Linked DNA regions of Coturnix japonica. The protein of the gene in region 5 interacts with the protein of the main gene of each other region in a pairwise test. Links are inferred from orthologs where the notes say so. Each region holds a gene or a part of one and is shown on either strand. Other genes may lie near its edges. The genes, in order: MLX, FAM124B, CCNK, DDX6, TLE family member 5, SMARCB1 and OSGIN1.

The links.
Region 1: the proteins of TLE family member 5 (region 5) and MLX interact in binary tests that used the Homo sapiens proteins (3 or more experiments, as listed by UniProt). The two-hybrid records come from large-scale screens. The link is inferred for Coturnix japonica from reciprocal best matches to the Homo sapiens genes TLE5 and MLX.
Region 2: the proteins of TLE family member 5 (region 5) and FAM124B interact in binary tests that used the Homo sapiens proteins (3 or more experiments, as listed by UniProt). The two-hybrid records come from large-scale screens. The link is inferred for Coturnix japonica from reciprocal best matches to the Homo sapiens genes TLE5 and FAM124B.
Region 3: the proteins of TLE family member 5 (region 5) and CCNK interact in binary tests that used the Homo sapiens proteins (3 or more experiments, as listed by UniProt). The two-hybrid records come from large-scale screens. The link is inferred for Coturnix japonica from reciprocal best matches to the Homo sapiens genes TLE5 and CCNK.
Region 4: the proteins of TLE family member 5 (region 5) and DDX6 interact in binary tests that used the Homo sapiens proteins (3 or more experiments, as listed by UniProt). The two-hybrid records come from large-scale screens. The link is inferred for Coturnix japonica from reciprocal best matches to the Homo sapiens genes TLE5 and DDX6.
Region 6: the proteins of TLE family member 5 (region 5) and SMARCB1 interact in binary tests that used the Homo sapiens proteins (3 or more experiments, as listed by UniProt). The link is inferred for Coturnix japonica from reciprocal best matches to the Homo sapiens genes TLE5 and SMARCB1.
Region 7: the proteins of TLE family member 5 (region 5) and OSGIN1 interact in binary tests that used the Homo sapiens proteins (3 or more experiments, as listed by UniProt). The two-hybrid records come from large-scale screens. The link is inferred for Coturnix japonica from reciprocal best matches to the Homo sapiens genes TLE5 and OSGIN1.

What each region holds. Positions count from the first base shown.
Region 1 is NC_029542.1:4,577,924-4,582,142, reverse strand, and holds the start of MLX (max-like protein X), read right to left. Parts: upstream 2,971-4,219; 5' UTR 2,855-2,970; coding exon 2,810-2,854; intron 2,729-2,809; coding exon 2,692-2,728; intron 2,615-2,691; coding exon 2,531-2,614; intron 2,423-2,530; coding exon 2,316-2,422; intron 2,155-2,315; coding exon 2,055-2,154; intron 1,911-2,054; coding exon 1,811-1,910; intron 1,564-1,810; coding exon 1,362-1,563; intron 887-1,361; coding exon 830-886; 3' UTR 1-829. Other genes in the region: bifunctional coenzyme A synthase-like, read right to left, coding at 3,012-3,284, 3,340-3,486, 3,633-3,730, 3,813-3,897, 4,132-4,196. UniProt on the Homo sapiens protein: Transcription regulator. Forms a sequence-specific DNA-binding protein complex with MAD1, MAD4, MNT, WBSCR14 and MLXIP which recognizes the core sequence 5'-CACGTG-3'. The TCFL4-MAD1, TCFL4-MAD4, TCFL4-WBSCR14 complexes are transcriptional repressors.
Region 2 is NC_029524.1:6,955,220-6,959,679, forward strand, and holds the start of FAM124B (protein FAM124B), read right to left. Parts: upstream 2,904-4,460; 5' UTR 2,211-2,903; coding exon 1,479-2,210; intron 742-1,478; coding exon 190-741; 3' UTR 1-189.
Region 3 is NC_029520.1:43,662,870-43,666,581, reverse strand, and holds part of CCNK (cyclin-K), read right to left. Parts: intron 3,467-3,712; coding exon 3,335-3,466; intron 2,509-3,334; coding exon 2,403-2,508; intron 2,260-2,402; coding exon 2,202-2,259; intron 1,595-2,201; coding exon 1,425-1,594; intron 937-1,424; coding exon 653-936; intron 1-652. UniProt on the Homo sapiens protein: Regulatory subunit of cyclin-dependent kinases that mediates activation of target kinases.
Region 4 is NC_029539.1:4,836,295-4,840,006, forward strand, and holds part of DDX6 (probable ATP-dependent RNA helicase DDX6), read right to left. Parts: intron 2,640-3,712; coding exon 2,576-2,639; intron 2,098-2,575; coding exon 1,993-2,097; intron 759-1,992; coding exon 629-758; intron 151-628; coding exon 4-150; intron 1-3.
Region 5 is NC_029543.1:645,086-649,589, reverse strand, and holds the start of TLE family member 5, read left to right. Parts: upstream 1-1,492; 5' UTR 1,493-1,718; coding exon 1,719-1,745; intron 1,746-1,958; coding exon 1,959-2,056; intron 2,057-3,443; coding exon 3,444-3,507; intron 3,508-4,142; coding exon 4,143-4,187; intron 4,188-4,504. UniProt on the Homo sapiens protein: Transcriptional corepressor. Acts as a dominant repressor towards other family members. Inhibits NF-kappa-B-regulated gene expression. May be required for the initiation and maintenance of the differentiated state.
Region 6 is NC_029530.1:7,048,579-7,052,862, reverse strand, and holds the start of SMARCB1 (SWI/SNF-related matrix-associated actin-dependent regulator of chromatin subfamily B member 1), read right to left. Parts: upstream 2,801-4,284; 5' UTR 2,694-2,800; coding exon 2,601-2,693; intron 1,395-2,600; coding exon 1,283-1,394; intron 786-1,282; coding exon 756-785; intron 146-755; coding exon 16-145; intron 1-15. Other genes in the region: MMP11 (stromelysin-3), read right to left, coding at 3,353-3,486, 3,702-3,959.
Region 7 is NC_029526.1:103,658-107,369, reverse strand, and holds part of OSGIN1 (oxidative stress-induced growth inhibitor 1), read right to left. Parts: intron 2,880-3,712; coding exon 2,743-2,879; intron 2,392-2,742; coding exon 2,200-2,391; intron 1,867-2,199; coding exon 1,775-1,866; intron 1,227-1,774; coding exon 236-1,226; 3' UTR 1-235. UniProt on the Homo sapiens protein: Monooxygenase catalytic activity. Involved in regulation of cytokinesis; promotes RHOA activity, probably acting locally at the midbody in late cytokinesis.

The DNA.
Region 1 (4,219 bases), on a different chromosome or scaffold from region 5:
CCACATAAAATCATGGTGCTAAGGAACAGCAGTGTGAACTCAGAGTAATGCTGTGCTGCAGCTACTGAACTTTCCTGTTCAGTGTGGCCACATCACAACCCAGAAAAAGATAAAGCCAGGCCCAATTCAGCACTCATCAGAACAAGGAGGAAAAGGCTGCAATGAAAGTTCACTCCTTTCCCATTCAGGGGTGTTACTGAAGAGTCAGCACAGCGAGGCCCCAGGGCACTCCTTCAGCACAGAGCTCGCTTGCTGCTCCATGTAATGAGCATTGCCCTGGCAGTGACATGCTAATAAACCTGCCCTCAGTTCTCCCGGGCCTTCTCCAAAGCAGCTACAGAAATTAAAAGCAGACTCTTGCTTTTCTAAGAGCTGCTTCAGAGGGAGGTATTGAAAACCTGCAGCTGCAGAATAACCCTATTCCTGAGCTGCATTAGCACAGCAACAGCTTTTAGCACTCTCCTATTTCTCCCTGCTCCCAGGTTCAATAGGGTTTATATCAGGTGTGAGGTTACAGAGCAGATTCACCTGCTGAGCTGCAGCCCTGAAATCAGTGGCACAGATAAACCCAACTGCAACCACCTGCCTGAGCTAAAGACACTGGCAACTTAAAAGATCTATATTCAATACACACTTATTTCTTTCCCTTCACTAAGTCCTTAGCAGTATTTGGTAACGTTGACTGTGACAGTACCTGTTTGCACAGCTTTGGTTTGGTTTTGTAGTGACAATAAATAATCGAAGAAGCTTTAAGGACCAGCACAAGGGAGATGGTCCAGCCTCTCCTGGCAGCTGTCACCCGGTCGGGAGGTGCTCCAGCGAGGGATGCTCAGTACAGCTGACTCTTCACCTGGTGCAGGACCCCGATGACAATGTCCCGTAGGGTCTGGGGCAGAGAGGAGACACAGTCAGTTGTTCAGGGGAGGAAAAGCCTTTCCCATGCTCAATGCTACAGACAGCACCTGGTGCCACAGATCTCAGCACCTGTATGGGAAACGATCGCCTGTCTGTGTTCTCAGGCTGCAGGGCTCCAGGCAGCCACAGCACAACAAGGACCTGGCCCTGCCCATGCAGCTCATTCTCTTCCCTCCTAACTTCTAAGTGTCTTATGGAACAAAGTGCTGGGGAACAAGCACCCTCTTTGTAAGCTCTGTTTTTCAGTGTCTGAATTTCACTGCCAAGCAGCTGGGAAATGAGAGGAACCCAAGCTCCCATGCCCCAGGTCCAGTGTCAGCCACATTCTGCCTTTCTGAAGGCCCAGGCGAAAGAAAAGCTGCACACAGGCCTACACTCCAGACAGGTGCAGCCATACACAACAGCCTCTGCTCTTATATCAACCCCCCTGTGTCTGCTGTACTCACATGGGGCTTACAGTGCTCCTCAATCCAGCTGAAGACACATGCTGACAGCTCTTGAAAACTCGTGACTGAGATGGAGGCATTAAAGGACTCAAAGAGGGAATCCATAATGCCTTGGAAAACGTTGAATTTCACCTGGTCAGAGACCTGGTCCTTCCCCTCACTCGGGTTGTCCTGGTGAGCTTTTACGATCTGCTCATAGTTCCTGAAACACCAAGTTTGGGGCTCAGTGCTATCGAAGCCTCGTACTGCACAGCAGCTGGGCGACAGCGGGGGCAGAAGCTGCTGCCAGTAACTGGACACTGAAAACAGCTTCAGAACTGGAGGCAATTTGGTACGACCCCAGGTGCCAGACTGCACACAGAGCACTGAGCACATCGGGGGAGCTTTGCAGGGACATGGGGAAAAACAGCAGGAAGAAGGGGGCAGCAACCAAATAACTTCTTACTTACACTTTCATTATCTTCAAGGCCATCACGTCTTTCCTGAGAGTAGAAACTTCCTCTTCTTGCTTCTTCTTTTCCTTGTGCAGGAACTGAATGTAATCAATGGCTGAACACAAAAACACAGAGTAAGCAGCACATGGGGCCCCTCTGACCTCCCTGAGGTCGGTCCCCGAGGCACCATCACACACAATCACCACATTGAGGTGCCTGAGGGTCGGATCGTGCCCTGCTGCCTCCTGCACACACTCACTCTTCTGCAGGATGACGGCCTTGCTCAGCTTCTGGGAGCCGATGGCGAAGTCCTGCTGCTGGCAGGTGGGCACGATGGCCTGCAGGTCGTCGTAGCCTTTCTGCAGGGGCAGAGGGAGCAGAACAGGCACAAACGGCAGCGGTTACACGGACCCACAGCCCAGCTCCCACCACGCGGCCAAAGCGGCTCCAGCCACACGCGGCTCATGGAGCGGATCCAGCACGGGACGAGGGGCTGGAACGCGGCGCGGCGCCCACCGACCTTGATGGCATCGCGCCGCTTCTGCTCCGCCTGCGTGTGCGCCCGGCGCCGCTGGTCCTTGTAGGACTCCTTGTAAAACTCCTGCGGGTAATCGCTGTCCTCGTCGTCTGCGGACACAGCGGCGCTGAGCGCGGGTCGGGACGGGCCCCCCCGGACGCCGCCGTCCCCGGTTGCCCCGCGCCCGCCCCGCTCCAGCCCGGTGCCCCCGTTCGTACCGGTGTTGGGCACGGACGAGGCGCTGGTGGATCCGATGCTGTTGGCGCGGGACACGACGCTGCCCTTCCTGTCCGTACCGAGCGCTGCGGGACAGCGGGAGCCGCTCAGCGGAGCCGCCCCATCCGCCACCCGCCATCGAACCGCCCCCCCCGGCACCTACCGGGCTCCGGGACATTGTCCCCGTACGCGGCGTCCACCTGCGGGCGGAGGGCGGCGGTCACGGGGCGGATGGTGGCGCTCCGGGCCTCGGCCCCACGGTCCGACCGCCGCCCCGTTACCTTCCCCCACGCTTCCTCCGCCGCGGCACCGGGCGGCTCCGCCATCTTCCCCCGCCCCGGTCACGTGGGAGCCGCGGGGGACGCCGGGAAGCGCCGCCCTCCCGACCGCGAGGGGGCGCCACGTGGGGACAACGGGAACAACGGGAACAACGGGACCAACGGGACACAAACAGCACGGACACCGGGAAACTGCGACCGCCCTTTAACCGCCGCTCGGCTGCGGGATCACGGCGCGGAACCGGCAGCGCCCGCCGTGCCGAGCACGGGCCGTACCCGCCCGGTCGGGGCCGCGGCGCTTCCGGTCCGTCCCGGCGCGTTGTGCGGCTCCGTTCGCTCCGTTCGCTCCGTTCGCTCCCGGTCCCGGCTCCTCTCGGTCCCGTTGCGGTTCAGCTGCTCGTTGCGGTGGCCGCGCGGTGGATGCGGCGCTGCAGCAGCTCCCACGCCTTCTCCACCTGACAACGGGCACCGTCAGCAGCTTCGTGCGGGGCTCGGCGCCGTTACACCGGCCCGTTACAGCGGCCCGTTCTCACCTGTTTGTGGGTGACGTCGGGCTCCCACGCGGTGCTCAGCACAACATGCGCCTCCCGCACCCGCTGCCCGTCGCTCATCTGACTCCGCAGCCGGTCACGCGCCGCCTCCTCGCTCAGCCCGTCCCGGCTCACGATGCGTTTCAGCGCCTGCGGGACCAGCACGGGACGGGGGGTCACGGCGATCACGGGGGTCACGGCGATCACGGGGATCACGGCGATCACGGGGGTCACGGGGATCACGGGGGTCACGGGGGGTCACGGGGATCACGGGGCGGCCGAGGGGAGTCACCCACCTCGTCCTCGGGGATGATGGCCGCCCACACCTCGTGCACCATCTCCTGCCATCCGGCCTCCAGCAGCACGGCGGCATCCAGCACCATCACGGCTTTTCCTACGGAACGAGGCCGTTCCTGGTCACCGGGCGGACACAGGCAGCGCCGGCAGCGCCCACTACAATCAGAGCCACCCGGTACCTTGAGCTCCTGCCTCCCTGATCTGCTCCCTGACCATCCGCGCGATCTCCGGCCACACGATGTCTGTGAGGTTCTTCAGCCGCTCCTGGAAAGGAACCGCAGCGGAGTCAGGGTCCTCCCAGAGGTTGGTCCACGAGGGGGCCACAGCTGGAGGAGCAACAGCAGCTGCTGCCTGGATGTGGATCCTGCACAGCCGCTGATTTACTGTGTGCTACTGCACAGGGACGTGGCATCAGCTCAAAGGGCTGGAAATCAAAGCGCCAGCACAGAGTTCTCTGCTCATGAGGTTAAATATTGACATTCCCTGTGCTGCTCGTACCTGGTTTCCAAACACTTTTGCCCCGAGGATCTTCCTGTTGATCGTCCCGTCTTTGTTCAAGATTTCTGCAAGACAGAGGGAGGTGATT
Region 2 (4,460 bases), on a different chromosome or scaffold from region 5:
TGGCTTCATTTCTTTCTCCTGCCCTGTTTGCTCTTCAGCAGGTCCTTTGATCCCACAGCCTCACATCTTCTGTTGTTTCAGACCCACTCAAGGTTTCCATCGCCCCACACACAGCCCAGCTGCTGTGCTTGCAGACAAAATCACGTTGATAGCACTCAAATGAGGAGCCTGCCATGTGCTTGTTTCCAGTCATATGAAGAACTCCTCTTCCTCCTCAGGCCTGGTCCCAGGGCTGTCTCTCCGTGTTTGCACACGGGAGCCTGGAGCCCCGTGTCCCGCTGCTTTCCTCCTGTTGGCCACAGCAGATGGTGGCTGTGCACAGTGCGAGGCGGTGCAGGCCGTACTCAGCACCCATGGCTGCACAAGGTTGTGCTGCAGTGAGCAGTGACAGCCCACAGTTCTGCCCACAGCCAGCCCCGTGTCCACGTTGGTTTCTGCTGCTGGCCGGCATGGCCAGCCCTTCTGCTGCCTGCTGCTCATGGGCACATGGCGGGAGAGCATCGTGGTGCCCCGAGAAGAGCCAGAGAGGCTCCCATTGGGCTGCTGCATGGGGAGGGCATGGCCTGGCACGGGTGTCACCCTGCCCCTCAGGGCCCAGCCCTGCTGGCCTCCCTGCTCAGCGCTGCACAGAGTGGGGAGAGGGGCTGCAATAGGGCTGTGCAGCAGTCCATCCACAGCAACAGCACTGCGCCGGTTGGGAAGCACAGAGCTTGTTTCCCTCTGCTTGGAGCTGTCCTGCACCTGTTGAGAAAAGGTGGAGAGAACTTCCTTAAAGAAGAACTTCCTCACCAAGAAAGGAAAATAAAGAAAATCGAACATACATTGAAATGATTTAAATATCCAAATAATAATAAAAATATCCAAATAGCAACCAAGGAAGCCAGAGGTGTGAGGAGCTGTTACAAAGCAAAGAGCACACAGATGAACTTCCCTCCTGCTCCCACGTACAATCACAGTGAGCACCACCTCCTCAGCACCATCTTAGCCTGGTTTGATTTGTGCTCGCATGCTCTCAGGGCTGCATAGCACAACAGAAAGGGGGCGGCTTTCCCATGGCATTTATTTAGCCCTTTTGCCCAACTGCAATTACAAAACTACCATGGGTGATGTTGCATCAGCGCTGTACTTGCAAAACACCTGGTTTGGGATGGTACGGGGCTAAAACTCTGCTTTCTGGAGCATTTATAAGGTTGCATCAGAAAGAGAACAGGCTGGAAAGGGAAAAAGGTGAATTCAGTGGCTCGAAAAAGAACTAATACCTTCTACTTCGGGTGCTAACAATATGGAAGCATTCTAAGGATCCGTGCTCACATTTATCAATGACATCGTAGCACTGGAAGTTGGTTGCTGAGTTCATGAATTAAAAACGAAATACGGACAAGCAAAACCTTCATTTCCATTTTGAATCAGTCCTGCTCTTTGTTGGAATAGAAAAACCCAAAAGGCATCTGGTCTGCAAGCACCGTGCACACACATACCTGAAGCAGAATTTTATTTCCTTCGTAGTCCTGTGTTTGCCACCTGGTGCTGCTGATAGGAACGCATGGATTGGGCAGGAGAGGCACCAGCTGCCCCATTTCTTGCACCTTGAACTGCAAAAGCGACGACTCCTTGGGCTCAGCAGCCATCCCAATGGGCAGCTGCTTCAGGCAGAGCTGGACCGCAATAGCTTTAGTGGCATAGAGCATGAAGACACAGAAATTGCTTTTCCGTGTGGTTGCTTCTTTCCGTAGGATCATCTCGTACAGCCCCACTGCATCGTCGTAGTTATCAAAGCTGAAGTAGAGGGTCACACGCAGGATTTCGGGGCTGCAGCCCACCCGCCGGATGCCCCACACCGGCATCTGGTCATCCAAGCCATAAAAGTCCTGCAGAGCTGGTGTGTGGGGAGGGCTTCGTGCCCAGGTGGTAGGGACACACTGGTGGTGCCAGGGTGGGCGCTGGAGGAGATCCTGGATCTGGAGGATCCGCTCTTCTCCCAGGTCCTCATGCAGAAAAAGGAGGACAGATATCCCAGGAAAGCCGCAGTTCCTCCTGCGATACCTCTCGTAGTATTTCAGTGGAGCAGCTCGCTCGGACACAAAGAAAAGTGGAACATCTGGGCAGATCCAATCCATGAGACGATCCAGAGCTTGCTGCAGGAACGCCGAGTATCCTGAGTTGGCCAGAAGATGCACAGTCATCAGAGGCTCTGCTCTGTCACCCATCATAAAGCTCCTCTTCAACAAACAAAACCAAACCGAAAACCAGTTTCCTCCTGCAGTGTTCGGAGTGGCAGCAGCACAGGCACTGCACTCTGAGGTAGAAAAAGAACTTGATCACTCAGAAGCTTTGCAACAACCCAATGAGGTGACAGGGTTGCACACACGCACACGAGGCAGGAAAGCGTGCCACGGTGTGATGGGACCAGCTCTGGTTTGCTCACGTCATATCAGAGCTCAGATGCACGTTCTGGCCCAGCAATGTGACCCAGAGCTGGTCACCAGGTGCACACAGCACATGCGCTGAGGCGCTGTTGTGGTGCAGTGACTGTCCTTGAGCAGGGTGCTGGGGGGCTGAAGCAGGAGTGCAGTCGCTCTCCCAATTGCACACATCTCATATATCTCCGGGTGCTCGCCGTGTGTGAAAACCTCAGCGTGTGTTCCTGCAGTCAGCTGCTGAACTTCAGCTTGCTGTGATCTCCCCAAGTCACACCCTTCTGGGGCACACAGATAAGCTATTCTTTAAAAACAAGGAAGGAAAGCAGGCTAACAAAGAGGAAAAAAAAAAAACATGTGAACAGGAGAGATAACAATGAGGGCCAATATGAATCAGGCCCAGGCACTGCAGGAGGAGCCTGGGCTCGGGGCTGTGCACCTCATGGGGCAGCAGTTTGCTGCTCAGCCCACCCCAAGTTGCTGTGCAAGGGTCAGGGGTCTGCTATCCAGAACACTGGACTTGAACTATTCCTCCCCCCCCCCAACTCCTTTAATTAAATACAGCCCTAGCTTTATATGCACCTGAAGAAAATCTCCAGGGTTTAACGGTACAGGGACCTGAGCTTCACGTTTCTTTTATTTAAAGATCACACTCAGTAATAGAAATACAGTCATGAGACCAAAGTAATGTAAGGTCTTAAGAAAGATAGCTGCAGCACTTCCAACAAGTAGTAACTGTTGGGACAGAGACAAAAACATCCAACCCTTGGACAATCACAGGAAGAGCGAAGGCTGCGAGTGTTCAAAACATTACAGCGCTGTAAATGAGCTCTGAACAACACAGAGTATTACTGAAACACCGAAAAAGGAAGCGATTCATCAACTCTTTGCTACAGGGAAGGGTACAAAGAGGCAGGCTGCCCTAAATGTGAGCAGCTCCTGACTTTCCCTCTGCTTCCCCTTCCCCCAGCTTTCCAGTCTGGCTGCCAAGCGGAAAAGCACATTATTCACTGTGACCTACCCAGCATGCCAAGAAAGATTGCTGTAAGAGATTAGGAGAACAGCAGCTCAGCCCTATGTGAAAAATCAGCCTGCGCTCCCACAATGCCCCGGAACACCATCCACACACAGCAGCAACATGCAGCACAGCACAGGGTACGGCATGCTGTGCATTGCTGACCTGAGTAAGAGCACGTGAGGGACGTACTGACCACCAATATAGAACATCAGTAAGCCCAGCATAAATAAATGCCCAGTGCAAACAGCCAACAAGTACTGTATTGTGTGAGGCTCAGAATATGGTCTGTGATGTGTTTCAAGGCTTGTAGTGCAAGGGCACAGCAGAATTATAACTCCTTTCCATAATGAGCTCTTTGATTGCTCCCAGCCCTGAGGTGCTGAGCCCTTCACTCCAGCTGACACCCAAGGACTGATGACGCACCGCAGGATTTAATAAATTCATTGTAACTTCTGTAATGAAGCAACACGGCAAAGGTTCAGGCATTGCAGACCATCGGTAATTAACTTCCAGGAGGGTGCCTGAATTACCTCAGCATCACAGAAGCAGCCCTCATTAAATCCCGGCACTGTCTTGGGCTCGTTAGCCTTCAAGACATTTTTTTTTCCTGCCGATTTCAATTTCTTCCTGCACCAAGGCCAATGACAGCCATCGACAGCAGCACTCAGACAAAAAGCAGAAGTAGGGCCCTACTTGAGCACAATAAGCTTTGCAGCCTGCCTCCTGCCCCAAGCACCGTGCCTCCAAATTCATCAGTTCTGAGGAAAGTAAAACCCCAGCAGTCTGACCTACTGCACTTACGACAGGGGACTTCTCTCCCAAGTAGTCCCTTAGTTCTCCTTTTTAACCAGCTAGTAAAAAGGATCTGGCAGGGATCTATCAGCAACTGGACACAGAAAACAGAGCTCATCACACATGGTAAATCAGGATCCAAGCAGAAAACAAGACAAAAATGGAGCCACAATCAGAGCAGGTTAGCTCAGTCCCGCTGTCAGCAGGACACAGCAACTCAAGGCTCAGCCCTA
Region 3 (3,712 bases), on a different chromosome or scaffold from region 5:
TCCCTGCCCTATAGATCCAACAATCCAAGTTTGTGCTGACAGAAGAAAAAGCATGAAAACCAATACACACTGCCTATAAAGAGCTCTCTCAGTTTCCAAGCTCTTGAACAGATTTAATCAGCCTTCTATCCTGAATAACTCTAAAGTTAGTACTCAGTGCAAGAACTACACAATGCACAGCACAGCTTTTCGTCCTCTAGTAGCAGGCTATACCTTGTAAGCTATAACTTGTTAAAGACCTTGTAAAAGCATGCGGAATAATTACAGTATTATTCTATTACTCATGAAGTTTCTTATTTTCAACGAGATAGTAATAGAAAACAGAGACCTTTCCTTAACTAAGCTTCTTCAACAGCAACACGACAAATTTAGATGGCGCAGAACCATGAACCTCAGTAGCTGATGCTGACTTAAATGTCTGTCCACTTGGTTTTGCCTCAAGTGAAATGAGAATATCGATATGGCAAAACTGTCAAGGCTGTTCTACACTAACATACTTACCATACAACTAACAGAAGTCTACCATAAAAAATTAATTACCAGGATGAGTCTTAAAGCAAACAAATCTGCTGCACAACACAGCCTTTAAGTAAAAGTGTCATCAGATGAGCTTAAAAATAAAATGCAATTTGAAGATCAAAGTTAAACTTACTGCTGGTCTTTTAATCTGTCTGGGAGGACTTGGCTGAGGCGAAGGCTTTTTAGGTTGCGGTGCTTGTGTTTGCTGCTGCTGCTGCTGCTGTTGTGATGACTGCTGTGACTCTTTTTGCTGCTGAGTCTGCGATTGCTCTGAACCCTGGGACTGCTGTGATTGTTGTACTGTAGGTGTCTGAGGTGTAGATTGAAGAGATGGTGGCTGCTGCAGCTGATGAGGAGTATGATGAGGCATTTGCTGTTTTCCCTGTGAGTACAGATCCAGTATCTGGTGACAGATGTCTTTAAAAAGGAAGAGATAGGACTCAATTACGATCAACTCATAATGTACAAATGTACACTTAACTCACCATAATTAACTAAGCTTTTTACTGAAAATAAACTTCAGTGACTGCAAAGCTAGTGTAATTTGCTAGAAAGCAGGCTGCATTAGTTCCAGTGCTCACAGAACTGTGTATCTAAAAATGGGGAGAAAAGGAATAATAACTAAAAGCAAACAAACAAACACTCCCAGCAAAACAACACATCATAGATGAGCAGCTAATTAGCTGTGTTATAAACTAAACAATTTAAATAATTAGTAAAGCAAACACTGATCAGAAGACTAACCGTGATAACCAGTCTAAAATGGTCATTTAAAAAGTTCAATTACAAATCTGCTTAGGACATAGCACTGAAGGCCCATAAAGAAAGCAATCTGCATTTCCTTATGATTTAGATCATATAGTTGAAAAAAACACTTGTCTCTTTCTGGCAAATTTTTCTCATACCTTCCAGAACATCAACAGGAACATCTTGGACAAACTGCTCCCACCATCGTCTGTACATTGGTTTTGAAGTCCACTCCTGTATTTCAAACTTACACAGACGGCCTGCTAAGTACATAACTGCAACAGCAATGATCTCAGGCTCCCACTGCAGTGACAGAGTAGTACAGAGGCTGGGATACAAAAAAGCAAACAGAAATTTAATTTACAACAGCTATTACTAACAGCATTGACTCTTCACTGCACTTAAACATCTCAGACAAATTGAATGGAGAAACCTACAAACAGCCACTTAAGTGAAATGAGTTTACAAAACTAAGCTGTTCCTTCACTATGCTTTTTTATCACAGCAATTTCAGACATACATAATACCCTTAAACGCCATCTAGTCCAACTCCCCTGCAACGAACAGAATAAGCTACATGTCTCAGGTGGGCAAGAAGCCAGACTCTGTCTTGACATCTATAATTTGTGTTGGTCTTTTCAATAAACACCTTGTTTTGTTTGTTCATTTCTGACAGCAATATTAAGTCATTCCCATAAAATATCAAGGTTTTAATGGACTACTTCTGCAGTCATCCCAGATGCTCCACTCAGTGGAAATAACATGGTAAAGATAAAAAGTAAAAAAATATCTAGATCAAAAAATAATTCAGCTGCCCTCATTATGAACAGAAAGCACACAATAAGCAAAGAAATGTCAGAGAAATACCTCAACACAGAATAGAGTAAGCAACAGCAACCATTTAATTTCCAACGTGTCTCCTGGTACCATCTCACCTGTCATTGACAAACGTCCATGCCATTTGAACCAGCTTCTGAATCTTATTCTTGTCTCCTGAAAAGCAATCAGAAGAGGTAAAAGAAACTAAGTTATCAGAAATGCAAACAAACTGGAGAAGAACACACCTGCACTATTAATGTAAATAAAACGTCAAAAATTAAGAACGGGCAGCACTCTCTCATCCTGCAGCATTTTACCTTTGAGTTGTTTAGCATATTTGAGAAGGAACTGGTATGGATGTTCCACTTGCAGATCAAACTTTATTGTTTGTAGTAAGATTCTTTCAAGGACCATCACTTCTTCCTACAACACACAATAAGGCAACCATAATATTATTCCTTTTTTTACTCACAGATGTTTTATGCTGGTATAAAGTATAACTACAGAGCATCTCCATGCAAACATGTTTGTCCGCTTTTCCTTGTTTAGGGTTTGATTAGGAGAATAGAAACCTTTCCAACTTAAGCGCTGTTTTAAACCCGGATACTTTTTCTTCATAGTTATTTGGGGCAGAAGGGCAGAAGTTGTGCTTTAAATTCCTTTTCCTACATACAATAAAAAACTGAAGTAGATATGGCATAAAACTGTTCAGTATACAAAAGAAAAGGTAAGTTTTCACCATCTCTCTCTAGTTTTACATCTTTCTTGCATATACAGTAAACCATTTGCAATAATTCTGAGAAACGCTTAGTTTTGCTAAGCTAAGTATTATAAACAGGAACCTTAAAACATTTGAGATAATGCTCTGATTTGACCTGAGACTTTCAACTGCTTCTTTTCTAATGGCACTCTTAAGTCTGCCCAGCGTGATTTATGTCCTGATGGCATTTATAGCTGTGACCACAAACTGACTCCAGATTGATTTTAAATTGCAAAATAATACCAGAGCTCACATGAAATCAAATCTAAGCTTTTAATATAAACAGTTACTGGAGTAGCCTTTACTTGTATTCGCAAAAACTCTATTAGCAAGAATTATTTTCATAATTACCTACTACGTTACCCAAAAGAGCCATAAATGCACATTGAATGTGAAATTTGCAACAACTGAAACCAACCAGTGTTTTAAGGCTTGTTGTGTTGCTGGGTACAATAGGATGAAAATGAGTTCAATGTGAGTATTTTTTACCTTTGGATCATCTCCAAATTGTCCAAACTGTACATCATTTAGCAAGCTACGGGCTGTTTTAATTATATCTTTACATTTCTTAGGTGTTTCTTCTACTTTCCCTGCCAGGAAGAGACAGCAGGCTCCTGTCACCTAAAAAACAAAAGTGCTTTCAAAGAGTTGTCTGCATATCCAACACAGTACAACATTATTAAAGCACGGTCAGTTTCCATTAACAGATCTGTGGAATTTTCCCAGAAAAGATTTAATAAGCACATTAACTTTTAATATTACTGTGCTGCTAATTCAAGCTTTTCATTCTTAAAGAAAAACACAGAATTTGGAGGACTGACCATTTGATAGAACATTATTTCTTGGTTAGAGACCCTAAGTAGAACT
Region 4 (3,712 bases), on a different chromosome or scaffold from region 5:
AACCTGTATCATCAAGCCTCATTATGTCATCTCGTAAATTGGTTCCTCCTGTTGTTGCCATCACTTTGGCACCTCCCATGTGTTTGCTGACTTGGATACAGATTTGACTGACCTGCAGGGCTAGTTCACGGGTGGGAACGATCACCATTGCTGAAAGTTAAAAGTATCAGCATGAATTACTATTAACACACAGTCTTAAATACTTCCCTGTAGAACATAGAAGCTTCACAAAGCCATATTTCAAAGTTTTGCAGTTCCACTATAAATATCCTGATAGGTATCTATAGAAGTCCTAGAAGCTGCTCAAAACAAGATAAATTCCACATGTGCTCCCTCACACTCGCTCCACACAGCTCTCCCAGCCACCACATGTTTATTACTCCTAATCTGCTTTCTGAGGCAAGAAAGTAAAGTCTGGAAGATACCTTCCAATTCAAGTTCCTGAAGGGAAACTTGCAACTTATAAAATTCCACCTTCCCTCTACCATTCCCCATGTACTTGCTTTACAAGTGTGAGCAGACAACCTACATCACTGCATTTCATCAAACAGCTTTTAGATTCAAGTCTAGACAGTGAGCAATAATACCACCACCTGGATGCAGCTAAGGCAGACCCATCCCAACTGACCTTGTATGTTGTCCTTCTTTAAGTCTAGCCGTTCAAGTAAGGGAATGAGGTAGGCTCCACTCTTGCCTGTTCCATTTTTCGCTCTAGCCAAGATATCCCTACCAGACAAAGCAATGGGGATGCTCTCCTCCTGAAATGACAGTCAATTCATGAACAATCACCAGCTAGGCTCACTAAAGAGATTAACAAAATATAATTCTCCTCACTAACAATACAACATTACATGTTTATTCTGTGAACAGAATATCCTGCGTGTATTGTGCTCTCACAGATGGAAGGAGTTAAATCTATCAGCAAAGAGTTCTTCAACACAATACAACACTTCTGCTCCCAATATCCCAAATAAAGTTCTTAATGTGCTCTGTACTGGGTACTGCAGGCATGGTAAACCCACACTGATACATCAGCAAAAAGTAATTTACAAAAAAAATTTAAAAAAAAAAATTGAGGAGACAGTGACAGACAGAAACTCCTCCAACAGAAACAGACATGCATCTCTTAATGCTGGAAACGCATCAGCCCATGTAATCTCAAACCTGCATGCTTCTGTGATTAGACTTTACAAAAGGGAAGCCTGCTAGTTTTGAGACTTCAGCCATTCAGAGAGAGGGCACATGTACTCTTCAGTTTGCTCTCCTTCGCAGCAACAACTAAACAACCCAAATACCTACAATCTTTTCATTTAGAAAAGGTGATGTGTTAGAATCTACTTGAAAGAAATAAGCCGTAGCTTCCTTCATTCCTTACAGAGATAAAGTGGCCCAGTTGTCAATGATAACTCTCTAAGCAACAATTGAAAATAAACCTTGTCTCCCCAGCAATTTCACACACGTCAATTGTTACTCGTAAAACAACTCTTAAAGAGGAAGGGACAGAAAAGTAAACTTACTAACACATTAATCTCTCTCCTATAACCTCTGTTATGACTCCTTCCAGATGTGTATGATAAAAAAAGCCAAGAATGGGTGGTAATGCCACACAGATACCTCTATAACTACAGATATGCAACCTACAGCAAATCAAAGTTTTCCAGGAATGTATAAGAACAGCCCTGTCCCCACTGTGACTGCTATGGCTACTGATGCTTCTGAATGAGAGGAACACATTGATGTCTCCACAGCGAAAAGGAAAATCAAAGTTAGTTTCTCTAAAATCTCAGTCAATCCCAATCTCTTCATCAGCCAACAGCTATGATTTACTTGGAAATCAGTGTTTCTTCCTTCCTACAGTCACAAAATCCTGCTGTTCAAATCCCCAGTTTCCCCGAGCCATGACACAAGCATTCACCATTTAAGCACATGTAATATCAGTGAGTTTATAATAATTAAGTTGCTGCTTATAACTAGTCTGTTTATTATAACAACCTGAATAGGAGATGGCTTTTCCCAGCCCATTTCAAAAATTCCCATCAGCAACTCCCGTTTCAAACAGTAATCTTCAAACTCATTTCCTTTTGTGGAGGTCACGTCCTGGATAATCAGAAAAAGCACATCCATAAGATTAGGTCACACAACCCACAGCCAAGCATCAGTCAGACCCGAGGAGAGGCTGCTTATGCAGGAAGATCAGAAAGCATGTTCCATTACTAGACAGGAGTTCTCACTTATCAGTACAATATCATAAAGTAGAGAAGTAAACATTAACTTTCCAAAAACCAAATACAATCCTGTGAATATACACAGACATCTTTTGATTTCTGCCTTGCAGAAGACACTGGACCCAAGCTGCAACAGCAATAAAAAGCAAGAAACACATTAAACAGTGTTATTGAGCTTCACGAGAGAAGCATCTCTCCCAAGTAATTTTAAGAGAACAGATTAATTTTACAAAGCAATCCCTCATTTAAAACAGCTGAGCAAAAGCTTAAATGCTTTTGAATCTTGTATGACTTTTTTTTCACTGCAGCTTCTCCCACAATTTCCATTCCTACAATTCAGGAATCCTTACAGAAGTTTTGATTCTCAAATCCTTTGGAGGGAGTTTTAAAGTCTTCTTCCAGTCATCGCCAGGTCTACAGCAAAACAAACAAAGACAAAGACTGGTTTAATCATTTGATTTTGCATTCTGATTTTCTTGGCAAGTGATTGACATGTGATATTTTCAGCTATAAGCACCTACAGGTACAAGCTCAAATCTTTTCTGAGCAAAGTGGGATGCAACAGGCAGGAAATGGGAAACAAAGGCACTGAGCAGCCTGCCAAGTGCAAAGCAAACTTGGGAGATCTTTATCCTGTCATGATTCAGGTCCCCCTGTTGGGTCACCAAATCAGTCCACTGGAACACAGATTTCAAACTGAGCACTGACATACTGACATAGTGATGTTAAAGTAATAAGTAATAAATCCACACATGTATATTTCAATACTGGTGCTAAAAATAATAATAATAAAAAAGAGAGACCCACATTTCTGTGTTCAGGAACTGTCTATTTGATATCCGTGAGTAATATAAGATGAAATTATTTCTGGGGAGAAAACTAAGTAAACACACACTCCATTTGACTCTCAGTGAGATTCAGACACTCTTCCTCTCTGAAAAGCCCCCATACAGAAGAAAACAAGTTCTCCTCCTCCCCAGTCCCATTTAGGAGTAAGTTCTGATGAGTTCTATTGGTAGTAACCCAGTTTAAAAACACCACAGCTGAAAATGTGTTAAGCAAACAGTAAGAGCTCGGGCATTCCATTAGGCACTCTCTCAGGCAGGGAAACAAATTCATGTTGCTTGGGTGCAGTGGCAACTATGGGAGGAAAAAAGTGAGCTGCTATCGTAACATTCAAGTCTCACAGGTCTGAGATAATTTCCAACCAGTATGTATTATTAGCACACTTCCAAAAGCAGTTTGATGGGACAAAAGAGACAGACAAGTGTCATAAAGGTACCACCATGTCCTGGCTTAGGCTCTGACTAATTGAAACTGGAGTGTTGCACCAGGGAGTGCACTCACCACCATTTAAGTTCAATGACAAAAGAGAACTGACTGGAAGGTTTCTCACCACAAAAGAGATCTGCAACAACTAACCCCAAAGCAAGCAAAACTGGACTAAGATTAGGCCGTGTTTCCTCCTTTGTCTTACATTTCTGTTC
Region 5 (4,504 bases):
GAGCTGTCACAATAACTCAGCTGCTATATTGTTCCCTTTAAAAATAAATAGCACAACAGCCCGGCCTGCCTCGCTGCAGCCGTGACGTGTGGGGCTTTATTTTGAAGCAGAAAATGCACCCAGTTTGAAAGGCAGGAGGAGAACAGCAGCCAAATCAAGGCAGGATCCCTGTGCACGCAGCAGCCCTGCCCAGCACTCCTTGTTTGTGCCATGCAGGGATCCAGCAGCCTTTCTCTGCTCACTGGAGCACTGCAGCCTCTGCCCATGGATGGGGCTCTGCTGAGGTGCTGCTCTGGGCATGGTTTCTTCCAGCAAAGGAGAGAAGAGAAGAAGCAATGCTTTGCTGTGGGCATTGCAAGTCAAAAACTGAGCCCTGCATTGCAATGGTGGGGTCTGCACTGTGATGGTGAGCCTTGCACTGTGATACTGGGGCATGCAATGTGATGGTGAGCCCCATAATGCAATGGTGAGCCCCATATTGCAATGGTGAGTCCTGTACTGTGATAGTGAGCCCCAAATTGTGATGGTGAGCTCCACACTGCTGGGGTGCTCAGCTCCTGCAGCATCACATCAAGAACCATAAGCAATAGGTGAACAAGGAACGCCAAGGGCAGACGTGTCTGGCCCATCTGGTGGCCTCCATTGATGGCATTGGTGGACAAAGGAAGGGCACAGGCTGCAGTTGTGCAGGGCCTTTGCACGGCCCCACACTGTGCCCATTTCTCTCAATAGGAGAGAGGTGGGTTTGAAGGGTGGGCTGTTTGGTGGGTAAGGAAGTGGTTGGATGGTCATAGCTTGGGATCTGTGGTCGTGGTGGTCCTACAGACCCCCCTGCGCTGCAACTATGGGGGGGCAGAGGGCAGGGAGGGGACTGTCCCGTCTGCTCAGCCCTTGTGGGGACCCACCTGCAGTGATGCATCCAGGTCTGGGATCAGGCTGTGGGATGCTCTGAGCTCTGAGCACCAAAGATCCTCTGCTATGGAAACGTGCTGATGGAGCAGCCATGGAGGCTCCGGGGAGACCTCACTGCAGCCCTCCAGTACTTGGGGAGGGGGCTTACAGGGAGGAGGGGGAGTGACTTTTACCTGCCTGATAGCAATATGGTGATGGGGAGAACTGGATGCCCTTTAAGGCCGACCCCACTCTAAGCCCTTCTCGCACCCACGATGCCCGCAGCAGGTGCGGGGCTCTGGGACACAGCGCAGACCCCAGACCCACGGAGGGTCCCACGGAGCGGGGTCTGAGCGGCACCGGGTCGGGATGGGTGGGCGTGGGGGGGGCAGAGCATCACGGCTGGGGGGGGTAGGAAGGAATTGGGGGGGGGGGGGCAGCTGGGCGCCCCCCCCCCCCCCGATCCCGGGGGGGGGGGGGGGGGGCGAGGGGGGGGGGGGGGGGGGAATTGGGGGGGGGGGGAGCAGCTGAGCGCCCCGCACCGCCCGGATCGCGGCGGGGGCGGAGACGGCCGTGGGCCCGCCCGGCCCGGGGAGGCGGCGGCGGGGCGGCAGGTGGTGCCGAGCAGCCGCAGGACGGAGCGGATCGCAGCCGCCATTAGACAATAGGCGGCGGCTCGGGGCACAGCGGCGCGGGGCGGCCGCGGGGCCGGGCCCGGCGCGGACAAAGGCGGACGGGGAAAGAACGGAACGGAGCGGAGCGGAGCGGAGCGGAGCGGAGCGGGGCGAGGGGACCGCTGCGGGCGGTGGAACGGGCTGCAGCCTGACATGATGTTTCCACAAAGCCGACACTCGGTACGGCGGCACCGGGAGGAGCGAGGAAGGAAGGAAGGAAGGAAGGAGGGAAGGACGGGGGGGAGCACCGAGAGCCGCCCCCTGCCCGCCCGCAGCCACCGGGAACCGGAGCGGGGGGTGCGGGTGACCTTGGGCGGCGGCGGGCTGCGGTGGGGGGGCGGGCAGGGCTGCGGGCCCCCCATTGGGTGTGCAGCGCTGTGTGTGTTGTTCAAGGGCTCCTCTCACCTGCCGCAGCAGCTCAAGTTCACCACCTCCGACTCGTGCGACCGCATCAAGGACGAGTTCCAGCTCCTGCAGGCCCAGTATCACAGGTACGTGCCGGTACCGCCCCCACCGACCGCCCCGAGCATCCCGGGGGGGTCCGCAGTGCGCCCGGAGCTGGGATCCTCCGCTTTGGCATCGCTGCCCTGCACGGACCGGGACGCAGCGTGGCCAAGAGATGGGCTCCGTGCGGCACGACGCGCTGCCCTCCCAGCCCAGCACAGGTTTACCCCCAGGCTCAGCCTCCCCAGGCCGGTATCACCTCCAGGTCCCACCTGGAGGACCGATGTGAGCATCCCAAGGAGGGGGGGGGGACGCCCGGTGTGCACCCATTGCTGCCTTCCTTTCCTTTGGCCACGCAGTTCGGCCCAGAGTTGGCCAAAAGCTGCAATCCAGGCAGGGAACGCTCTGCTCACTGCCCAAAAGGTGGGATTCTGGAAGGAGAAGGAAGGAGAACGCTCTGCCTCCCCCACAGCCAGGTCTTACCCCAATGCAGGACTCCATGCACAGCTCTTCCATCCCTCCATCCATGCACAGCTCTTCCATCCCTCCATCCATGCACAGCTCTTCCATCCCTCCATCCCTGTGCAGCTCTTCCATCCCTCCATCCATGCACAGCTCTTCCATCCCTCCATCCCTGTGCAGCTCTTCCATCCCTCCATCCATGTGCTGCTCTTCCATCCCTCCATCCCTGTGCAGCTCTTCCATCCCTCCATCCCTGTGCAGCTCTTCCATCCCTCCATCCATGTGCTGCTCTTTCATCCCTCCATCCATGTGCAGCTCTTCCATCCCTCCATCCATGTGCAGCTCTTCCAGCCCTCCCTCCTCTCGCTGGGAGTTTTCCTCCCCTCTCCCTGCTGGCTGCCATTCTTGGCTCACAAATGCTGCAGGGAGCACTTAAAGCCAAATGCTTCCGCTTTTCCGCCTGCGGAATGGCTTCTGCTGACCCAAAAGCTGGCTGCCGATGGGCTCTCTTGCTGTTTGCTTCCTAGCTGCACGCATGCACCAAACCATTGCTCCGTGTGTTGCCCTTTCCCTATTGCTCCCACCTCCCCGAGCTCTGCATCGTGCAGCATTGTGGCCCCCCCTTGCAGGACCCGATCTGCTCACAGAGCAGCAGGTTTGGTGGAGGTGAAGCTGTTTCTTGTTTGAAACATAAAACCAGCACATGCTGCTTGCAGCTGCCGGGCTGGGGAGCTGCACAGAGCACAGCGAGCAGCACGTCTGCTCTTAAGGGTGCAAAGAACCCAAAGGAAAGGGGGAAAAGGCATCATTCCAGAGGCCTGCACTGCACCTGGGCTTCCCCAGTATAGGAGGATCTGGTTGCTTTGCTGAGCTGCACTGGGCACACAACAGGCTGGGATGGACCCTGCAGGATGCAACCCAGGATGCAACCCGCTGCCCTGCTGCTTCTCTCACTGCTTTCTGCCTTTGCAGCTTGAAGTTGGAATGCGACAAACTCGCCAGCGAGAAATCGGAGATGCAGCGTCACTACGTCATGGTGAGGAGCTGCCGGGGCAGCGCGTGGGTGGGGAGCAGGTGCTGCTGCTGCTGGGCTCGTGCAAACGGGGCTCCTCGTGCACACAGGGCTCCTCGTGCAAACAAACAGAGCTCCTCGTGCTCTGCACCCTGTGTGTGTGCTGGGTCGGTGGGTGCAGGATGGACATGCAGGGTGTGAGCAGGGAGCTGCTGTCTGTGTGCAGAGCTGCTCTGCTGCTTGAGCAAACTTGGAGTGCTCAGGAATTGACTTCCCGTGCCAATAGCTTGCACTGGAGCTGCCTGTTGTGTGAGGGGGGTGGGTTATTTTGCGTGTGTGTTTCCTGCAGCTCCTTCCCAAGCAGCTGGAGCTGTGTGCAGCTGGAGCACAGGGCTGAGCCCTTCCATTTGCTGCCGGAGCAGCCACGTGGGCGTTAGGAGATGGGCCAGGCACAGCAAACAGAGCCGGGCTGTGCCTGTTCCCAGCAGAGCACTGAGCTCTCCCTGTGATGCCAGGGCTCTGTGAAGGTGCTGAGTGGGCTCTGGGTTAGTTGAGGTCCCACCTGGGCTGGGGGCAGCAGGAAGGTACAGATGTGGGGGTCTCTTTGCATGCTGGAGTCCTCATCGTGTCTGTTTGTTCTCTTCTTCCCCACTCCGCAGTACTACGAGATGTCCTACGGGCTGAATATTGAGATGCACAAACAGGTATTGGGGGGGGTGGGCTGCCTGCTGTGCCTTCTGTCCCTTCAGTGGCATTTCAGGATGTCAAACGTCAGCACTGATTTTGGGATCTCCAGCTCTGGCATTGGGGAGCACCTTCACATTTTTTCCACCCCATGACCTTATAAAAACGTCTTTTCATGCAGGGAGGGGAAAAAAAAATAATCATTGTGGCCATGAGCTGCTTTTCCAAACCCTTCTGGAAGGGGGGACCCGGCTGGGGGTGCTCTGGCTCTGAGCTGGGCTGGGTGCAGTCAGTGCTGGGCACCTCGTGGTGGAGGCTCTGCTGTAGCCTGGCTGAG
Region 6 (4,284 bases), on a different chromosome or scaffold from region 5:
CAACACTGAGGTTACCTGAGGTAGGTGGGAGGTTCTGTGCTGATAGACACTGCCTTGTATTTCTCATCATTTCCATCCAAGATCTCTTCCACTTCAGAGGCCTTTAACAGTGTCACACTGGTGGCTAATGTTGTATATCCATGATCTGTTACCAGGAAAGATGCTAATAGTTAACATGAAAAAGCATTACATAGCATATGGCATAAACAAGCTGAACAGTGAAAAGTGGAGTCAGTGCAGGTGGGACTAGCAAAAAACACATCATTAAAATAGTAAATAGTAGATAAGCTTATAAGTAATAAGGGGGAAAAAAAAAATCCTACATTAAATAGCCCCACACTATCACATCATTTTGCTCTGCACAACTACAGTCTGCCACAATGATGTAAAATCTTTTCCACAGTCCAGAAAACTATAAATCCTCAGTGGACTTAATAGTGGAAATGGAGATATAACACTCAATGGAAAAGCGAGTGGCTGAGCAGACACATCAGATACTAATGAAAGCTAAGCCAGGGAGTACAAACTCTTAAGACCTGGAAAAAGGGAAGAACCACTGGACAGATCTTACTGAATTGCACAGACCATTAATGTTCTGAGAAAGAAAAGTTCAGCATGTGATGAGGATGCACAATGGGATGACCACAGGGAGAGATCAGAGGATGAGATGTTATTATATGCTGTAATAACGCCAAAGGTCATGGCAGAGATTATTCCTGTAGCACAGCTAAGCATAACACACAAATCAGACTTACATCTTCTTGGACTGTGAGACCGCTGATTTTCTGTTGGGAAAGAAAGAAATCAGCAACAGGTCAGCAGGATATTAGAGGAAGGAGGCTTAAGTATAGAATGAACCACGTATCTTTATTATGCCTTAGCCTGAGGAACACATGACAAGTTGCACTGCTAATGAATATAAGTTCTTAATATTAGTCTCCCATCAAAAATAATACCAAGGTGGCTGCATTCTCACTGTGGTGGTAACATCAGTAGAAACACACTGCAAATTCTGGGAGTCATAAACATATAAAGAACATGAGCATCCTTTCAATGTGTTAAGGGACAGAACCACCCCTCTTTGCTACTAGAAATCTCTTCTGGAATATGGTATTTAACTTGAGGTGTGTCTTTTGCATTGTGATAAATGCAGCCAACTCCAGGACAGCCACATTTTGCAGAACGCTGTCACAAAGCCCTAAAGGTACACAAGCTTCTGAGCCTACAGAGACAGTTCTTCAAGGCAGACATTTAGACTGGGAGCATTTCCTCATCTTCTTACCATGTGAAGATGCCACTATCTTCTTCCTTTCTTCTACTGTGGCTAATCGTCTCCAGAGCGAGGGATACCTCTTGTACAGAGAGCCCCGGAACATACGCAGGTAATTCCCCACCTATAAGAAGAAAAGCAAAGATGTGACCTGGAAACGTATTCCATTTAAAGAAACGAATTATCAAAAACTGAAACAAATTTTCAATAATGAAACAATAACAGTGACCTCATAAATAACCTCCTAAGAGGATTTTTTTTGTTGCTTTTCACAATTCACTGTATCAGGTTTGGCATCATAAAGCACAATTTTTGGCACAATACATAGCTCTTATCAGCACTTATTTCACTAGTTTGCTAAGAAACTCCAGCTCATTGACAGAAATCAGTTTTTGTTTATTTTTGGGACTTTGCTACATCAGCACAGTGTCCAGGAAGGATTTAATGGAGCTGCACACCCAGCTCTCCAGCAGCATCCCTTTCACCAGACACCGCTGGGATCACAGAATCACAGAATGACCCGGGGTTGGAAGGGACCTCAAGGATCATGTAGTTCCAACCCCCTGCCTGGCAGGGCCACCAAACATACACCTTTACTAGATCAGGTTGCCCAGGGCCCCGTCCAGCCTGGCCTTGAACACCTCCAAGGACGGGGCATCCACAACCTCCCTGGGCAGCCTGTTCCAGGGCCTAACCACTCTCCTAGTGAAGAACTTCCCCCTAACATCCAACCTAAATCTTCCCTCTTTCAACTTAAAACCATTTCCCCATGTCCTGCTATTGTCAGGACTGCTTTCCAAGAGTGGATGGCTCAGACACACACAGCGCTGCCTTGTGCTCTACTTTAAGCCCTTGGAACACGCAGGATGCGATCTGTGCCTCTCCAAACCCGCTGACCAGCAGCACAGCAGCTCTGCTCTTCTCAGCACAATGCAACACAGCAGTGCAGGCTCCAGCAGGGTTCGCTGGACAACACAATGAATTCTAGGCTCTGCGACCAGGTTTTTTAACTGCTGCTGTACTTGTAGAGTGTGTATAGTTCACAAAGGGGCTCACATTCCCTGTCACACAGGCCTTATTTTGACCTTAACATCTTTCAGACCATTTTTAATTGTAACTTTATAGCGGGGGGCTGGAAGGCGATCCCTCCTCCTCCACGTACCCTGTGTGGCACATATAGCCAGATAACCTGCAGTTATGGCTCCTTTTAACAGCACAATCCCCACAGTATCACAGCACCAAAGCCCTTCTGCTCCCACACAGCGCTGCCCACCCCACAGCCTCGCCTCGCCGCCTCCCCCCCTCCCCGGGCCGCCGCCATTGTCCGTACCTCGGAGCCGATCATATAGAATTCTCCGTCCTCCTCCAGCTGGAACTTAACGGGCTTCTGCCCGAAGGTTTTGCTCAGCGCCATCATCATCATCGCTGCGGCCCGGCGGGATCCGGCGGCGCTGAGGGAACCGGGGCGCAGCGACAACGGCAGCGCCTCGGCCTACTCCGCTGCTGCTCTGCGCATGCGCAGGGCACCGCCCCGCCCGCTCGTTCCCGCCCACCCGGCGCTGAAGTGAGTCGGGCGGCGGGTAGAAAAGAGGCGCTTTATTGGTACATCGATACGTATATACACAGTATATATAGATATAGATATAAAAAGAGTTGATACGCGTCGTACAAAAGTTGACGCCCACGGGTTTGGTTCTGTACCCGGGAGCACCGTGCGGATGGGCAGTGTCCAGCACTGGGATGGGGCAGGCTGAGGGGCTGCGGCCTCACAGCGCGGGGGGTGATGGCGGCGGGTCGGTGTTATGGGGGGGGTCCCGTTCCAAGGCCTGATGGCTTTGGGATGATAGAGCTACAACAGCCCGGCCACATTAAGGCTGCTCGTGTCTGTAAGGAATGTGGCAGATGCTTCTGTACAGGGACCAAAGCTGGGGCTGCTGCTGGAACGGGAGAGGAGCAAACTTTGTCACTTGTTGTGACACGTCTGTTGTGTCAGTCTGCGCCTGGAAGGAGCCAGGGATGGCAGCAGAGCCCTCAGTGTCTGCTGGAGGTCAGGGCTGGAAGGGAAAAGTAGGGGATGCTCCTTCATCGGAAGGAGTTGGAGGACGGTGTGCAGCTGAAGAAGTCCTGGCTGATCTGACGGGGGTAACCTTCCAGAACCTTCACCTGCACCGGGTCAAACTTCCAGTAGTCTCGGCCTCTCAGGAAATAGGCAAAACCTGTGGAGGAGAGAGGGAGGAGTAAGTGAGCCAGCCTTCACTCAGCTGTCTGCACTAGGTACTACTGAAAGCAGTTCAGCACTGCTGCCTGGGCTGAACTGCAGGCAGAGCTGCTGGGCTTGTCACTATTGGGAGTGGTAACAGCTGGGTCTGGTGGGAAGTAGCATCACCCTGAGCACGTGCCCCAGAGCAGGGCCTGTCCCTGCTGCACTGACCCAGCTCATCCTGAAAAGCAGCATCAATCTCCTGTGGGACGCCTCGCCAGTCAGCCATGGTCCGGGGGTAGATGTTGTCCACCTGGCGTGTGCGAGGGTTGAAGCGCCAGTAGTTGCCTCCACTGAAGATGTAAATCTTGTTCTTCTCTGTCCCCCATACCAGAGCTGCCTGCACGGGAGAAGCAGGGAGGCCCAGCTCTACAGTTGGTGTGGGACCAGAGACTCGTCTCTCGCCGTCATAAATCCAGTACTGAGAATCTGGTAAGGAGATGGAAAAGGGGAAACACATGTTCAGAAGTTCTTAGATGTCAGATAACTTGGCATGGAATTGCAGACTGGAGCTGGTGCCTGGGCAGAGCTCCCAGGGAAAGCTGTTCATGAATGCCCACCAAGGGAGTAAGGAATTCAGTTCTCCCCTCAGTACAACCCAGTGGTGGGACTGGGAGGATTCTTGGCAGCTGTCTCTTCTGTATCTGTGGAAGTTATAATACAAGATTTAGCTTTACATACTATGTACCAGGCTACCTTTCCTGGCCTCTCACAGGCTCACGGTTGTGGTGTTAGAGAGGCCTGTGTGCATTTG
Region 7 (3,712 bases), on a different chromosome or scaffold from region 5:
TGCTGCCTGCATACACAGCCATGTAGAAAAGGAGCAGAATACCCTGGGAATGAAGTTACTGCCATGAATGAAACTCTGGTGATGTAACCTTTCCAAATAACTCAGCAAGAACTTAGTAACTGCATAATCCTGAAGAATGGCAAGAGTAGCCTTCTCATTTAAATACGTGCATATCAAATTCTCTGACATCAGCAGTAACCCATTCAGACATTGTTAGCATAGGTGGCTTTTGTTGTTATGGAGGATTTTTGTTTGCTTTCCTTAAGAGAGAGCTGGCAGCAGCCAGAGCCCCTCCCTGTACAAAGCGTACAAAGTTATCTCCAGCTAGAGGCCCTAGAGCATAAAGCCCTTTCTCCTGAGTACATTCATAAGTGAATGGGTCAACATCTATGGGATTCCTCTTGGGATTGACTGGTTGGTCACTGTCCATCGCCAAGTCAATGCCATTATTCAGCAGAAAGGAGAGGTTGGGATTTGAACCAGTTAGAACAAGAGCCATGGAAATTTTAAAAGCTTTCTGGCAGCCGTTTTTGTCTTGAAGGATACATTTCTTGTCCTTGCCAAAAGATAGAACATGGTGCTCAGGCAGGCTAACGTAGCACTCATAGGGCCCAGCACAAGCAGCTGACTGTTCCTTCATCATCTGATGGACTTTGTGGTATTCAGGGTACATCATTTTGGGTAGCTGGTTAAAAATAAGACCTGGATCGCTGACTCGTCTCCGAAAAACATGAATTACTGGAATACTGCAGTGGTGAGCAAAGAGAATCGCATCAGCAGCTGTCAAACCAGCACCTACAATCAAAACTGGATCTGATGTGATACCAATACTGTTGTTTTTCACTGCTTCCTCTAGGGCAGAGAGCTGGTGATGGACATAGGAAAGGTTCTCTCCCTTGACCCTGAGCCAAGTGGGACTATCATACGTTCCTGTAGCTAAGACCACATTCTCTGCATAGACAGTGAAGGGCTCCTTGTCACCTTTGACAGTTTTGACAAATCCATCCACCTGAAAGACCTCCATATTCTCCTCACTGAAGTTCCAGAGCAAGTCACTCTTCTGTAGATCTTTCTGTGCGTGGTTGGAGATGCTCTTTGCACTTACTTTCCTCACAGAGGTTACAACAGTCCCACATCTAAAGTTCTTCTGCAGCCCTTTCTTCACTACATAATGCTGGTAGTATTGAGCAATGTCTTCTGCTGTGGCTCTATGGTTTCTGAGGCCCCTGCAATATATTACAAAGGTCAAGCAGCAGTTAAGTAAGAGCCTGGAATTTCTTACTTCTTCCACTGAATGTATCCTAGAGCTATCTAATCCGTCACTACTACAGGAGGCTTATCTATTTTCCCTGACTTTAGCTAAGTTATTCCCAGTATACAGAGCTGGTAATCAGATTTGGAAGCTGCTGGACAGAGGAAAATTTTTAATACAAATTCCATCCCTAAGAACATGGTCACTCATTCACTCTTTTCTCACATGTATCTCACTGCTATTCCACTTTCAATTACTAGACTCTAAGGCTTCAACAGTTACAGAGTAGAAGCATCTGAGAAGCTGTGGAGTATCTCAGATTATTGTATTTATCATTAGGGTCAGTAGCAGTAGCTGTAGAAGTCAGACAGTTCAGAAGAACTCATAGTCTGAATACTCTGAGTGACCTTTCAGAAGAATCACCCACTAAAGATAGGCAGCTGCATTCAAGAAGTCCAGCCCACTCCAAGTTCCCAAATAACATATGGATGCTTGCAAGAAATCAGACCATGAGTATCTCACCTTTTCTTTTGCTTTAGCCAGTCCTTGAACTGGAGATCTGGGAGTCCCATCCATTCCCCTCTGCTCAGGGTAATCATGGAGCCCTCAATAGACTGGAGCAAGAAACAGTTAAAGGGCATTCAGTTATTTAATGTAAGAAGCTAAGTGTAACTCAAGTTTCAGTATATCTCACAACAGAAGAAGCCAATGATTTCATTAGATGCATTGGCATGGATGAAACCCCCCATTTTCTCCAAAAAGAACAATTAACTGGAAATATAAATGCCAGTCCTGTTCACCCTTTTAAAGCTCTTACACCTCTTTGTACATGCAAAATCAAGCATGTGTGAGTAGCACACTGGAGTACCTTCAACTCTCCAGTCAATGCATTTGGCTATTTTATAAAATACAGTTGTAAGCAGTTAGTTAGGTTTTGGTTCACATACATGCCAGGCACCTCCTGGAGGGTTCTTGCCAAGGACCAGGTGGGAGATGGCTCTTTCAGTCTCGTGCCTCCAAGTGAGCACAGATTCTGCACTCACACCAAAGTCTGTATCAGGTCGCAGAAGGGTATCAAGCAGAAGAGCCACAGGGCTGTTGGATCTTCCCTCTAAACCTTCAGACAGATACTCCAGATCCTAAAGAGAGATAGATCAGATGCTGTGAATGCGTGTCCTGTCAGGCTGCAGACTGTTTATAACTGCTATACTTCCAGACACTGTTTTTGGAGTTTTGTGAAGTTCATTTAATTGCATACAGCCCCTGTTACTGTTTGAGAACTTTCTTGAGGATCTTAGCAGTGCTGGCACTTCACACAAGGGAAATTTGGACAACTAGAATGCTTTGCTTAAGACTCATTCTGTCTGAGTGTGTTCTACACACTCTGAAAATTCAGATGAATACATCACTTATAATAAACCCCCCGAGCGCCTCACTATGTTGATAAACTAACATCTTCTGCTAACAAAGTCATTTTTCTTTATACAAACCTGGTCCAAAATGGACACATCTGCTGCCTCTTCTAGTTTACTTTGAAGAATGGGATGAGGATGAAGAGAGTGTCTTTTGAAGTAAGGTGTGTAGCCTGTCAGCAAATATGAGAGGCAGATTCCAGAAGGTCCATTCCCTGAAGAGACACAATGGAGATGTTTTTTTTTTTACTCCTGCAGACAGTACAGCCCTTTAAGAAGTGTTTTAAGCATCTTGACCAAACCAAAGGTTAAGATGCACACTTCAGACACAATCCTTTGTATTTTCAAGCTACAGATAACCCATCAGACACAGCTGGGGAAGTCTTTCTGCCCTCACATATCCCCTTCTGCTCCCCAGCCTCACCTGAAGCTTAAAGTCTCTGGCCTGCTGACAAACTCAGTCACTGCTCATCAGCTTTAAAGATCTGGAAGCTGGTCGCTTACTGGAATCAGCCCCAGTCTGTACTGCAGGCAGTGCGTTAAGGAAAAAAGCCTGCTGTGCCAAGAGTGCCTCAGAATATAGTACTTCTGACTGGCTGCAGGATATCTGACCTCCTCCTGCAGACAGTGGAAAGACTGCAACTGCAGAGCCCAGCAAGAGCAGCCTATGGAAACTTTTCACATGGCCGTCCTCCAGCACGTTTAATATTTCACAGTGCCTGGATGACAAGCCGTCAGCCTCTGGCTCACAGCTGCTCACAACGGAGTGACTAACAAGCATTACATAATGCAGTAATGATGGAGGGGAGGGGAGCTGAAGTGACACAGCAGCCTGCAGTGGGTCATGTTGACACAGTGCCCATGCTGTGTGTGTGAACCACTTGAGCAAAGGCCACTTCTCCAGGCAGCAGAGATGGGGAGGCTTGGGCTAACAGCGAGCTGAGCTATGCAAAAGGGCAGAGCCTGCCACAGCTGGGGCCAAAGTCTGCTGCGGGTCAGTGTCTGGGATATTCCATTCCCATGAAAGTTATCCAGAAATTAAAAGCAA